Linked DNA regions of Coturnix japonica. The protein of the gene in region 1 purifies or fractionates together with the protein of each later gene. This does not show direct contact. Links are inferred from orthologs where the notes say so. Each region holds a gene or a part of one and is shown in the gene's direction. Other genes may lie near its edges.

The links. The genes of interacting proteins can lie anywhere in the genome.
Region 2: the proteins of ILK (region 1) and CCT7 purify together in Homo sapiens (affinity purification with mass spectrometry; 4 studies listed by BioGRID and IntAct, with this or other methods). This does not show direct contact. The link is inferred for Coturnix japonica from reciprocal best matches to the Homo sapiens genes ILK and CCT7.

Annotation. Positions count from the first base shown.
Region 1 is NC_029516.1:173,987,474-173,994,165, reverse strand, and holds the end of ILK (integrin-linked protein kinase), read left to right. Parts: intron 1-503; coding exon 504-669; intron 670-936; coding exon 937-1,032; intron 1,033-1,147; coding exon 1,148-1,244; intron 1,245-1,347; coding exon 1,348-1,431; intron 1,432-1,641; coding exon 1,642-1,727; intron 1,728-1,976; coding exon 1,977-2,086; intron 2,087-2,280; coding exon 2,281-2,408; intron 2,409-2,649; coding exon 2,650-2,771; intron 2,772-2,838; coding exon 2,839-2,938; intron 2,939-3,025; coding exon 3,026-3,156; intron 3,157-3,312; coding exon 3,313-3,462; 3' UTR 3,463-3,962; downstream 3,963-6,692. Other genes in the region: TAF10 (transcription initiation factor TFIID subunit 10), read right to left, coding at 4,446-4,535, 5,855-5,969, 6,058-6,122, 6,215-6,363, 6,602-6,692. UniProt on the Homo sapiens protein: Scaffold protein which mediates protein-protein interactions during a range of cellular events including focal adhesion assembly, cell adhesion and cell migration.
Region 2 is NC_029519.1:81,263,933-81,271,300, reverse strand, and holds part of CCT7 (T-complex protein 1 subunit eta), read left to right. Parts: intron 1-260; coding exon 261-641; intron 642-1,012; coding exon 1,013-1,138; intron 1,139-1,975; coding exon 1,976-2,028; intron 2,029-2,504; coding exon 2,505-2,676; intron 2,677-3,698; coding exon 3,699-3,863; intron 3,864-4,268; coding exon 4,269-4,457; intron 4,458-5,006; coding exon 5,007-5,104; intron 5,105-5,566; coding exon 5,567-5,699; intron 5,700-6,801; coding exon 6,802-7,008; intron 7,009-7,368. UniProt on the Homo sapiens protein: Component of the chaperonin-containing T-complex (TRiC), a molecular chaperone complex that assists the folding of actin, tubulin and other proteins upon ATP hydrolysis.

The DNA of each region.
Region 1 (6,692 bases):
TCCCCATCCCCATCCCCATCCCCATCCCCATCCCCGCCTACTGGGCCCTAATCTCCTTTTAAGGCCCGGCTGCCGCCTCCTCCCTTACTTGGCCAGGCACGGCTGCGAGCAGATGGGGGGGGCATGGGGGGGCTCCTGGTCCTCAGCAGCCTCTGCTGCTCCAGCCATGAGGACGATGGAACGTGGTCGGGGCCCTCCTGGGGGTGGGCAGAGCAGGGGCAGCACTTGGGCTGCTCCTCACAGCATGGCAGGGTGCAGCGTGGCTTTGGGGCTGTGTGGCTGCTGCTGTTGGGTGCTGAGCAGTGGGAGCAGAACTCACCTCCCTGCCCTTGGGGCTGCAGCATCCCTTGGGCTCGGAGCTGTGCCTCACTCAGCCAGGCCAGGAGCTGAGGGGCCCGTGGAGCTGCAGGATGGTATGGGGTCTCCTCCAGTGCTATTCCCCAGTGCTCCCCTGAGATACAGCCCTGCGTGCTCCCAGCACATCCTCACCGCTGTCCCCTCAGGGATGACCACGGCTTCAGCCCCCTGCACTGGGCCTGTCGCGAGGGCCGCTCCAACGTGGTGGACATGCTGATCATGCGCGGAGCGCGCATCAACGTCATGAACCGCGGCGACGACACCCCGCTGCACCTGGCGGCCAGCCACGGCCACCGCGACATCGTGCAGAAGGTACCAGCTCCCCAAACACTGCACAGCCACAGTCAGACTCACTGTGCCCAGCAGGCCCTGCCCCACTGCTCCCTGCCCCACTGCTCCCTGCCCCACTGCTCCCTGCCCCCTCCATGCACTCACTGCACCCACCTCTGGGTGCTCCCACCATCCCCTCGCAGCCTTCAGCCCCTTCCTATCAGCAGCCCCTGCTGTGAGTGCATTCCCCCCCCCTCAGTGCACTGGAAGGGACCCACTCTGGGCTCACCAGGACTGTCCTGCCTGCAGCTGATCCAGTTCAAAGCGGACATCAACGCGGTGAATGAGCACGGGAACACCCCTCTGCACTACGCCTGCTTCTGGGGACACGACACGGTGGCAGAGGTGAGAGCAGCACCTGGATACAGGAGCACAGGGGATGGCAGGGGGGAGGCTGGGTGTGTAGGAAGGGGCTGAGAAAACAGCAGCAGCTGTGGGTGCTCAATTTCTTCTTCCTCAGGACCTCGTGGGTAACGGGGCCTTGGTCAGCATTGCCAACAAATACAGCGAGACGCCCATTGACAAAGCCAAGATGCCTCTGCGGGAGATCCTGAAAGGTAGGAGGCTCCCACCTGCACCCAGTCCCTGCCTCTGGCTGCTGCAGCCCTGAAGCTCAGCACCATGGGCTGCTTCGCTGTCCAACTCTTCATTTGCTTCCAGAGCATGCAGAGAAGCTGGGCCAGAACCTGACCAAGATCCCCTACAAAGACACCTTCTGGAAGGGCACGACCCGCACGCGGCCCCGTAAGGACAGAGGCTTCCTGCAGAGCTGGGGGCACGGATCTGTGTGCTGGGGTGGAACTCAGGGCTGAGGGGCAGCGCTTGGCACAGCACGTGGCTCAGTGGGGCAAGGGAGGCTCCCTTAGTGCAGTGCCTTTGCACACAATGCTGGTGCTGCTCCTCCTGCAGCCCCCAGACAGGAGGAAAGTCCCATGCAATCCTTTCTTCTTACAGGAAATGGGACCCTCAACAAACTTGCTGGAATAGACTACAAACAGCTGAGCTTGAGCCAGAAACTCAATGAGAACCAATCAGGAGAGGTATGGAGGCTGTTTCCTTGCTGGGACATCAGGTGCTCCCTCAGCCCCTGGCTGTACACAGAGCACAGAAGGGGTACGGCTGCTTGGGGGGCGTCCAGGCCCCGCTGTGGGGCCGGCTGCAGGCTGGGACAACTCACAGCTCATTGCGGTCACTGCGCCTCACTGCAGGATCCAGGCCCTGCACAGCGGGCTGAGGGGTGGACTGAGAGCCCCCCATCACAGTGATCGTATCCATCTGTCTCCCTTCAGCTGTGGAAGGGACGCTGGCAAGGCAACGACATCGTCGTCAAATTGCTGAAGATTCGGGACTGGACAACTCGGAAGAGCCGAGACTTCAACGAGGAGTACCCGAAGCTGCGGTAAGTGGCAGCATCCTCATCCTCCCCAAAGGAGCCAAGGCCCCTGAGGGTGGGCACCATCCCTGGGGTGGGGGGTTGAGACGGGAGCCCACAGGGTGAGCAGAGGCTGGTGGGGGCAAGGCAGCCACCAGAGGGGAGGGCAGGGAAGATGCAGGGCTGTGAGCAGCAACTCAGCACCGTCACTTCTCTTGCAGGATCTTCTCTCACCCCAATGTTCTGCCAGTGCTGGGTGCCTGCCAGGCCCCCCCGGCCCCCCATCCCATTGTCATCAGCCACTGGATGCCCTACGGCTCCCTCTACAACGTGTTACACGAGGGGACAAGTGAGTGCTAACAGATGACACAGCTGAGGCAGGCGCTGGTCACTCTGTCCTTGGGGGGGGGGGCTGCTTCTCTGTACACGGGGGGCAGCAGCACCGACTCCTCCAGCTGCAGCTCCAGGGTGGCCACGAGGAGCTCAGTTTGCAGCCTGCGTGTCCCTGCTCCGAGTGCTGCCATCCCTGTCCCCTCCCACACGTGACACTCATTCCTCAGTGACCCCCAGTGCCTCCTCCCTCCCTGCAGACTTTGTGGTGGACCAGATGCAGGCAGTGAAATTCGCTTTCGACATAGCTCGGGGCATGGCCTTCCTGCACACGCTGGAGCCCCTCATCCCACGGCACCACCTGAACAGCCGCAGCATCATGGTGAGTGCTGCTGCCTGCAGCCCATGGGCTGGGCTGTGGGTGGCTCTGACTGCATCTCACTCCCCAGATCGACGAGGACATGACGGCAAGGATCAGCATGGCCGACGTGAAGTTCTCCTTCCAGTGCCCCGGGCGGATGTATGCGCCCGCATGGGTGGCACCAGAAGGTGAGTGTGAGACAGTCGGGCCCCTCCTGCTGCTTTGCCCCCTTCCCTGCCCTTCTCAGCCCCTGTGCTGCACTGGATTCTCTGCAGCCCTGCAGAAGAAGCCAGAGGAAATTAACAGGCGCTCGGCGGACATGTGGAGCTTCGCGGTGCTGCTATGGGAGCTGGTGACCCGCGAGGTGCCATTTGCAGACTTGTCCAACATGGAGATAGGAATGAAGGTGAGGGGGGAGGGGACCAAAGCAGTGTGAGCACAGCTGGGTCAGCAGGGAGCACAGGCAGGGCTCCATGGAGAGCACAGTGGCATGGAGAGCTCCATGTGCCCACCACAGGCAGGGCTGTGTCCAGCTGGCTGACCCTGCTCTGCCCGCTCCCAGGTGGCCCTGGAGGGGCTCCGTCCAACCATCCCCCCCGGCATCTCCCCACACATCTGCAAGCTGATGAAGATCTGCATGAACGAGGACCCAGCCAAGCGCCCCAAGTTCGACATGATCGTGCCCATCCTAGAGAAGATGCAGGACAAGTAGAGGGAGGTGCCTCCCCGATGTCCGCCGCTGCCATGCTCCCTTCCCCACCACTTCCAAGTGCCTTTAACCCCAGAGCTAAGGGGGAGCAGGGGCTGCCCCCTCACCCTGAGCCAGCCATGGACACACGGTACAGGCGATGCTGCCTTCCCTGGAGCCGCTCTGTGGGCTTCGGGCTCTGTAGCACCGATCTATGGCAGCACCTCCACCCTCCCTGGCAGCTGTGGGCAGACTGAGCAGGACACCTGGATGCAGCCACTGAGCGTGGTGGGGCTCTGCCGCCCTGAAGCCACGTCATGCTCCCAGGCCCAGGGCAGCTCTCCCACTTGGTCTCATGCTGACAGTGTCCAGTCCTGGTGCTCTTCCCTGCTAAGGACAGCAGGGGAAAGTTGCCTTTTTGTGCCCAGCACCACCCCAGCTTCGCGCTTCACTTTTTATCATTTCCATCCAGGCCACGTGGAAAAGCCGCCAGCATCTGAAATAAATATTTGTTATGAAAACTGGCCACGGGCCGAAGGGTGCGTTGATACCTCAATAGGCTGCTGGGAGAAGGGCTGCCCTTGGCACATGGAGCCCTGGGCGCTGGAGCTGCTCTGTGCCAAACCCAGAGCGAGGCAGAGGAGCCTGGCTGCAGCTGCAGCAGCCGTCACAGCCCCAGAACCTTCCTCTTACGAGACATGCTACAGGGAAAGAAAGCACAGAGGAAGCTGGGCGCTTCTGTTTGCACGATGCCCACAGCCCTGCAGCAGCTCAGGGCAGGCTGAGCCCTCCAGGAGATGCAGCTGCAGTTCCCTGCTGTGCAGCCCTCAGCCATCACCTTCTGTTGGTGCTGGCAGAGCAGAACTCCGTGGGCCAAATGCTGCTGCTGCACTGACAGCAGGAGGGCGGCAGGAAACGGGGGGTCTTTCCACCAGAAAAAAAACTACCCATTGGTTTAATGGAGCAGAAGCAAACCCTAGAAAAGTCCCCAGCAACGAGCCCTGCTTTCACGTGAAGTAGTGCGGCTTCTTCACATTGATGCCGTATTCCGCCAGGGCGGGCGTCAGGTCCTCCATGGTCAGAGTGTATTTCTTGTCCTGGGGACAAAGGGCAGCATCACTCACAGCACAGACACAGCACAGATAGATACATCACTCATAGCACACAGACACAGCACAGATACATCACTTGTAGCACAAACACAGCACAGACACAGCACTCATAGCACACAAACACAGCACAGACACCTCGTGCCTTCAGCCCTTGGTTGGGGTTTTGACCCTCATTGGAGCAGTCCATGTGTGTGTGATGCCCAGTGGCTGGGCATTAACCAGCACCAAGTGCCTGAAAGCTGCATCTGCTCTTTGCCCTCCACAGCAGAGAAACGCACTGAGCATTACTCAGCGCATCTATTGCACTGCCCCTAAGCCACAATTGGGGCTGTGTGGATTCCAGAAGCTATTTCTACACGCTTCCTCCCTTTATCTTTTTCCCTCAGCGTTAGTTTGGTGCCATCAGGGCTGGGTGGCCCTGCAGTATCTCCATACACAGCACTGCCCACCTCCTGCCCACCACGCTCCCTCCCATTTAGTCAGCACACATCAGCCTCCCATGAGGTTCAATAAGGACAAGTGCAGGGTGATGCATTGGGTTGGGGCAACACCAGGTGTGTGTACAGACTGGGGGAAAGTCTCCTTGAGAGCAGCCCTGCAGAGGACTTGGGGGGTGAGAAGCTGGATATGAGGCAGCAGTGTGTGCCTGCAGCCTGGAAGGCAACTGTGTGCTGGGCTGCATTTAAAGGGGCGGCCAGCAGGGACAGGGAGGGGATTGTCCTCTTCTACTCAGCTCTTGTGAGCTCATATCTCAGTGCTGAGTCCAGGCCTGGGGCCTCCAGCACAGGAAGGACATGGAGCTCTTGGAGGGTCCAGAGGAGGCCACTGAGATGAGCAGAGGGGCTGGAGCAGCTCTGATATGAGGAAAGGATGAGGGAACTGGGCTGGTTTGGGTTGGAGAAGAGAAGGCTGCGGGGAGACCTCATTGTGGGCATCCAGTACTTGAAGGGAGCGAATAAACAGGAGGGGGAACGGCTGTTTGTGAGGGTGGGCAGTGATAGGACAAGGGGGAATGGTTTGAAAGTGAGACAGGGGAGGTTTAGGTTGGATCTGAGGAGGAAGTTTTTCCCCCAGAGGGTGGTGACGCACTGGCACAGGTTGCCCAAGGAGGCTGTGGATGCCCCATCCCTGCAGGCATTCAAGGCCAGGCTGGATGTGGCTCTGGGCAGCCTGGGCTGCTGGTTGGTGACCCTGCACACAGCAGGGGGTTGGGATGGATGAGCACTGTGGTTCTGTGCAACCCAGGCCACGCTGTGACTCTGTGACCCAGGTCAATGCCTGGCAGTGCCCCCCATCACACCCACCTTGCTCTTGTTGCGGGAGCTCCCCGAGGCCGTTCCCTTCATCTTGCAGTGCTGCAGCGCGTCGTTGGCGATGTCAGAGATGAATTTCTGTGCGGCCAACGAGATCAGCCGGATGCTGCGGGCACAACAACGGGCGGGTGGGCGGGGATACGGCACCGGGGGTCGTTCCGCACCCCCCCCCCCCGGCCGCCCTTTACACTCACATGCGCGGGTCGGAGGCCTCGAATCCCGCTCTGTTCAGGTAATACCCGGTGACGGCGTCCGGGATCTGCAGGGAGAGCCGCGCTCAGCGCCCGGTGCTCAGCACTCGGTGCCCGGTGCCGGTGCCCGCCCTCAGCGCCCGCCCCGCGCCGCTCGTACCGTGGGCGTGTAATCCTCCAGCTGCAGCAGGAAATCCACGAGCGGCGTCCCCGACACCACCGGCTTCACCTCCCCGTTGGCGGCGCCGGGCGGCACGTAAACGCCGTTGGACATCGCTCCTTCGGGCGGCGCCGCGGCCGACACGGGAGCTACGGGAGGAGGCGCTCAGCGGGACTCACGGCACCGCACGGTACCGCACAGCACGGCACGGCCCGGCACCGCACGGTATGGCACTGCAAAGCACGGCACAGCACAGGCAGGCCCGGTACAGCACGGCCCGGTCCGGTCCCTCACGGCCTGGCACATCACGGCCCGGCACCGCACGGCCCGGTCCAGCCCGGCCTGGTCCATCACGGCCCGGTCCCGCTCTCCCCTCCCCGCACTCACCGGGTCCCCTCCCCGCCGCCGCTCCCCCGTCCGCTCCCCTGGCCGCTCCTCCTGCCGCACTGGGTGGCGCCCCGGGGACGCCGCTGCCGCC
Region 2 (7,368 bases), on another chromosome or scaffold:
GGATGCCCCATCCCTGCAGGCATTCAAGGCCAGGCTGGATGTGGCTCTGGGCAGCCTGGTCTGCTGGTTGGTGACCCTGCCCATAGCAGGGGGTTGAAACCAGTTGATCACTGTGGTCCTTTTCAACTCAGACCATTCTATGATGCTGTGAGTTCTATGATTCTCAGCTCAGTTAGTTTGTGAACTTTGTTAATAGTGTGAACTTGCTGGGCTGCGTGTTGAGATTGGACTAACAGCTCTGTCCTGGTTTCTCTCCTCAGCCAACACCGGTTATCCTGCTGAAGGAGGGCACTGACACCTCGCAGGGGATTCCTCAGCTCGTCAGCAACATCAATGCCTGCCAGGTGATCGCCGAGGCTGTACGCACCACCCTGGGACCACGGGGCATGGACAAACTCATTGTGGATGACAGAGGTGAGCACTGCACAGCAGCCTCTCTACAGCAAGACTGGGAAAGCTCTGTTCGATGTGTGTTGTTTCAAGGCAGTAAGAGCTTTATTTGGGGCTTAGCTTCTTTTTCTGAATTTCTTGTAGGCAAAGCCACCATCTCTAACGACGGGGCCACCATCCTGAAGCTCCTTGATGTTGTCCATCCGGCTGCGAAGACGTTGGTGGACATTGCTAAATCTCAGGATGCAGAGGTAGGAGGGTAACCTGGACAGGATGCAGCAGCATGTTGGCTTTGCGTTAAGTGGTCAAACTCGGTTGTGGCGTGCTGCTGTTTATCCTGGTTTCTTCATTGCTTTCATCTTTTTTGTGATAACTTTAAAACGCTTGGCTGGGTTTTCTGCCAGATTTAGTAGAAGGGTTTGGAGGCTTTATGGATGCAAAATGTCATGAACAGAGGTGGCTGGGAGATGGGAAACTTCAAACAGAGTGCAGTCTGAACCCAGCTTGTGCTTAATCACTGAAGGAATCAGCCACAGTTCTGTGAGCAATGAGAGTTAGGAAGTCTGTTTTCCTCTGGAGGCCTCTGCTGTACATAGGTGACTAAAGTGTTCTGTCCATACAGGTTGGTGATGGCACCACGTCCGTAACTCTGCTTGCTGCTGAGTTCCTGAAACAAGTGAAGCCCTACGTGGAGGAAGGCCTTCATCCTCAGATCATCATCCGTGCCTTCCGCACAGCCACACAGTTGGTAAGGCAGCACTGTGCAGAATGGGGTGGCTCTGCTTGGTCTTTTTTTTCCTGTTTTATTCCATTTTTCCTTTTCACTGGGTTAGAAGGCTTTTAAACATATGAGGATCACAGTAAAATCCCACCAGAGTCTGTTAAAAGTTATTTTTTTATGGTGTAAGAAGGAGGAAATTACTCTGGAACACCTCTCCTATGAAGAAAAGTTGAGGGAACTGGGCTTGTTTAGCTTGGAAAATAGAAGGGAATATGTAAACAGGAGGGGGAACAGCTGTTAATGAGGGTGGATAGTGATAGGACAAGGGGGAATGGTTATAAACAGGAGGTTTAGGTTGGATCTTAGGAGGAAGTTTTTCACCCAGAGGGTGGTGACACACTGGAACAGGTTGCTCAAAGGAGGCTGTGGATGCCCCATCCTTGCAGGCATTCAAGGCCAGGCTGGATGTGGCTCTGGGCAGCCTGGTCTGCTGGTTGATGACCCTGCCCATAGCAGGGGGTTGAAACCAGATGATTATCGTGGGCCTTTTCAGCCCAGGCCATTCTGTGATTCTGTAATTCATTTAGCATGTAATCATTAAAGCGGGAAGTGTTACAGCAGTCGGAATCAGTGATTTGTGCTTGGATTGTGACTGAGGTTGTATGTAAATGTGCTTGAACTCTACCTGCTGCTTCTGCATGTCTCTTAAAATTGCCCTACTGGAAAGGATGGGGTAGCTCAAGTGCTTGAAACTGCAGTGATGTTGAAGGAGGGAAAAAAGCATAAAATACAAAAAGGAATTGGAGAACTGATCAGCTGACAAGCATGAATCATTAATCCAACTGTTGGTTTGTGTTTTGCCAGGCTGTAAACAAGATCAAAGACATTGCTGTGTCAGTGAAGAAGGAAGATAAAGAGTAAGTTTCCTTTAAGGTTGACCTGGTTGTGCTTTTCTGCCTTCTGCTCTCAGTCTGGCTGAGATCTCAAGGATGGGATGAGCAGTTGTTGCCCAGTGGTGGAGTTGGGTGTCAGAATTTCCTGCCTCTCTGGGAAGGATGCTGTGCTCTCCCTTGGGCTTCCACTGCAGCCAGGGATATAGGCCAGTGTTTCCATGTGCACATAGGGGAAGCTAAGGACAGAAATAAGTGGTCTGATTTCTTTTTTCAAGTGATAGTGGAGATGTGGCTCTTCCTGAAATCAGTGGCAGTGTTAAACACTCAGTGCTCCCCTGAAAGTCAAATCAGTATTTAGGTGTTGAATAGCTGCAGTTCAAGCTAATCACATTACTGAGATGATTATTAATTTTTAAGCTCTATGTCTGCTTGATCAGACCATAACTAGCACCTCCATTAAAACTTCAAGGTCGGACCTTTTTGTTCTTCCCCCATTACAGCGAGCAGAGGAGCCTGCTGGAGAAGTGTGCAGCCACAGCCCTGAGCTCTAAGCTGATCTCCCAGAGCAAGGAGTTTTTTTCCAAGATGGTTGTGGATGCTGTCATGATGTTGGATGACTTGCTGCAGCTCAAAATGATTGGAATCAAGAAGGTGCAAGGAGGTGCTCTGGAAGTAAGTTCTCCTGGGGCCTTGGGTAGGAGGCAGTGATTGCAGCTTGTTTGAGTTGACCCTGGCATAAATGCAGCCTGATAACAACATCTGTTGGGGAGCTACCAAAGCAAAGTACTTCTACCTCGTTGCCTTCACAGCAGATATAATTAGTGATCCAAACATCATTTAGATGGAGGGAGAATGGCTGTTTATGAGGGTGGATACTGAATAGGACAAGAGGGAATGGTTTTAAACTGAGATGGGGGAGGTTTAGGTTGGATATTAGGAGGAAGTTTTTCACACAGAGGGTGGTGATGCACTGGAACAGGTTGCCCAAGGAGGCTGTGGATGCCCCATTCCTGCAGGCATTCAAGGCCAGGCTGGATGTGGCTCTGGGCAGCCTGGTCTGCTGGTTGGTGACCCTGCCCATAGCAGGGGGTTGAAATCGGATGATCATTGTGGTCCATTTCAACCCAGGCCATTTTGTGTGGATTCTGTGATTGTATCTTTGCAAAAAAAAAACCCAACAAAGTATGTTGGAGAGCCTGGTGTGTGATGCTTTCTCCTCCCTGTATCCTATCCAGATTTGGCCTCTTGCTCTTTCACTTCAGGGGGCAGTGTTGGGCAGTGTTGTCCTTCTGCAGAGCTTGTGAAAGCAAACCAGGGCACTCACACATGGAAAAAAAACAAACCCTGAAGTGCAGGGCTGTGAATGAGAAGTATCCGTCTTCAAAGGATAGAAATGGGAAAGACATCAGAGAGAGAACAGATTGCTCCATCCCTTGATCTCGAGATTGTGAATAGCATCTTTCTCTGTGGTGTCTTGAGGGATAGAAAGGAGATGATAGAAGCTGGTTTTGTGAACAGGGAGAAGAAAATATTTGCTGCTTATTTGCTTCAAAAGTGGGTTAGTCAAAGGAGACAGCTGTTGGTGGGAGCTTTGTAAAGGAGGGTTCTCAAGCAGGAGGTTTCCTTTGGGAGTTATTAAGTCTGCTGAGAAAACCCTGGGATGTTGAGCCTGACAAATAGCCCTTCTCTTCAAGGATTCCCAGCTGGTGGCCGGAGTTGCCTTTAAGAAGACATTCTCTTACGCTGGGTTTGAAATGCAGCCCAAGAAGTATCAGTCTCCCAAGATTGCTTTGCTGAATGTGGAGCTGGAGCTCAAAGCTGAAAAGGACAACGCTGAAGTCCGAGTAAACACAGTGGAGGTAAGAGCTGGAATGGGAGCCTGTCCCCCTCCTGTTTGTCTCCTGGGCTGTCAAGGAGCTGGGCACTCTGTGATTGCCATCTGCACATCTTCCCTCCTGAGGTTATCTTGTGTGTTATGCTGGGGGAATAGTATGAATATTGCTACCTTTTACTCAAGTCATCCAGCCCCTTTATATCCTTGGTTCTGCTGCTGGAAGCACTTGAACAGATGTAGTTCTTTGTCATAGAATGACCTAAAATTTCCTTGAGAAAGCAGTTGGCTGCTGTGGATGGCTGCGTGGAGCAGCATTACTGCTGCCTTTGCTTTAGCAGAGCTCTCCCTTGGCTGGTGCTGTGGGGTGGCATTTGCAGTCCCATTACAAATCCTATTAATGTGTATTGCCTGTTTTTCTCATGCCTGCTAGGATTACCAGGCCATCGTGGATGCTGAATGGAACATCCTGTATGACAAACTAGACAAAATCCATAAGTCTGGAGCCAAAGTCGTCCTGTCCAAGCTGCCCATCGGTGATGTGGCCACCCAGTACTTTGCAGACAGGGACATGTTTTGTGCTGGCCGTGTCCCAGAGGAAGATCTCAAGCGAACTATGATGGTGAGCTGCTTTGTTTTGGCATAAAGACTTTGGATTTAGCTTGAATGTTGTCAGGCTGGTCAGGCCTCTCCCAAACCAAAACAGCCACGAGTTGCTGAACACACTGTTCCTTACAAGGATGTAAAAAGGAAAATAACACTCATTTTTTTTAATGTATTTTTTGCCCAAATGATGATGATGTAGAACTGCAACATAGTAACAAAACTATTCCTTGGTGGAAGAAATAACTGCAGGCTGATTGCTACTGTGCTGCCTTTTTTCCTCTGCTGCTGAATTGTATAAGGGTCTGTATGTTGTGTGTTGGTAGAAGTTTATTTTCCCTGCTCCTTGCCTGTTTTCCTTAAGCCACCTTTGTGTAGCTACTGAACTCTGGAGCCTGTGGCTCAGCTTTTAGTAACATCATCATCTTTTGCTGTCGAGGGTTATTTCTATTCCTGGTAGCCTGCTTAGATATATGATGGGAGGAAACTAGAAAGTGGGAGCCTGCTGGGCAGGTTTGTCTCATTTGTCAGCACTGGTAATGCCACGCTTTATCTTCTTCCCCTGCAGGCCTGTGGTGGTTCCATTCAGACCAGTGTGAATGCCCTGTCAGATGATGTACTGGGCCGGTGTGAGCTCTTTGAGGAGACTCAGATCGGAGGAGACAGGTAAATGTGCCAGCTGGGAACACACAGCCCTGTGGGAGCATGGGTGATACTGGTTTGGAAAGTTGGGGTATGAGCGTGAGCAGCTTTGAGCATCTCTCTGGGTGATGGTGTGAAAACAAAGGTTGCATGATTAATTCCTTTAATGAGCATGGGGAATGAGCTCTCATTTAGGTCTTACCCCTTTTAGATGCATTTATGTTTCTTTATTCCTCAAGAACCCTGTAGAAGGCTTAGTGGTATTTTCATTCGTAACTCCAAAGCAACACCTTTTTGGGGTCTTGTATATGGACTTGCTCAGCTTTGGATCTTATGGGGTCACTGTGGGGTGGGACAGCTGCAGCCATGCATTTGGGTTGGGAATAATTTCTCTGTCCCCGTGTGGTGTCCCAGTGGTGCTGAGCCTGTTGAGGAGCAGCACTGCTTTTCAGTCTCCTTACCCTTTCTTGTGTCACGCATTGACAGGTATAACTTCTTCACGGGCTGCCCAAAGGCAAAGACTTGCACGATAATCCTGCGTGGAGGTGCAGAGCAGTTCATGGAAGAGACAGAACGGTCCCTGCATGATGCCATCATGATAGTCAGGAGAGCTATCAAGGTAAGGGCCAGCAGAAGCAATTCCCTGCTGGGGTTGAGCAGACACTGAGGCTGTTGATCACACCCGGCACAGCTGCAGCTATTTCCAGCAGTGCCTTCACACCTCAACGTTTGGCTGAGGTCTCTCTGAGAGAAACCCAATGCTCTCAGCCTGCAGAGTGGAGCATGCAGACAAGCAGTGTCTAGTTGATTAACTCAAGTGCTATTCCTTGGCTACGGCAGAATTCTCACAGCTGCATTGCCAGCTGCTTTTCAGGCATGCCTGGTTTTGTCTCCTCTGTTACAAGTGCTGTGACTTAACTGTGCTTGCTGGGTTGTGGTGTGTTCTATAAACACCTTCACTAAGAAGGGGGTTGGGATCTTTTGGGAGTGCTGGGTGGGAATAGCAGGGCTGATCTAATGTGCCTGTTAGCTTCTCAGTCTCATGTGTGCCTGTTCATGCTGCATGTTGCCTCTGTTGGTGACTTCTGGGAAGGGCTGGTGTTGGCAGGTGGAGGTGGGCAGGTGACACCAAGAGGGAAGCCTGAGGCCCATGTGACTGTACTGTACTTGCAGAGTTGCTGGTCCTGCATGATGGCTGTTCTCTGCATGTGGGTATTTCTGGGTTGTGCGTAATGCGTGGGGATGGGTTTTTTTTTCCCCCTTAAGCCTGAGTGCCCTGAGGGGATGGGAAGAAGCATGTCAAGATTTTTTGGAGCTGCTTTGCTTTCAGAAAGAACATCCTGATCCTTTCTACTGAAGCAGATAGGGAGGGAGAAAAAAATAGTTAGCAGAACTTGGCTGCTGAGTGCTGCTGCAAATCTCGTCTGTTCTGAATGTTTCACAACGGGGGGGAGCTTGTCCTGCACAAGGGTAGCTGAGGTTTGCTAGCACAGCCCTGCACACCATCCCCCTGGCTTGCAGGTGGCAGGAAGGAGCTGCTGGCAGAGGCTGCCTGAGGTGCTCCCAGGGGGGTGGTGGTGGCCTGGGCAGTATAGATTCCCCTGGGCCTGATGTATGTGCATTACCCCAGCATGCTGTAGGCCTTTGGGAAAAGGGGTTTTCCTGCTCTTCCCCCTTTTGTGCAACAAAGAGTAAGCACAGCCTGTTCTCTTTCCTTCCAGAACGACTCTGTTGTCGCTGGTGGCGGTGCAATAGAGATGGAGCTCTCCAAATACCTCCGTGACTATTCCAGGACCATTCCAGGCAAGCAGCAGCTGCTGATAGGTGCTTATGCTAAAGCCCTTGAGATCATTCCCCGCCAGCTCTGTGACAACGCTGGCTTTGATGCCACCAACATACTGAACAAGCTGCGAGCCAAGCATGCACAGGTAGGTGCACGGCTGGCAGGGAGAGCCTGCAGAGCTGGTGTCCTTTGGTTGGGTTTGTGGTGGGCTCCTGTCCTCCTTCATTAAATGCCGTGGTTTGTTTTCAGATACAGTGTAGGCTTGAGGCAGGTTTCTATAAAAGGAAGTGATATGTTTTCCCTTTGATCACAGCTGTCGGATGACTTTTTTAGAGCTGGGAGTTCTGATTTGCTATTTAAAAATGCATCGTTTGTCAGGAGGGAGGCTTCTATATTAAACATTGAGGTAATTAGTATAAAAGTTACCTCTGTGATGTGTTTTCTAGAGGAGCTGCAGACTGAAGGTCCTGATTGCTTGAGATCGTTGTCTCTTCATGAAGGTCTT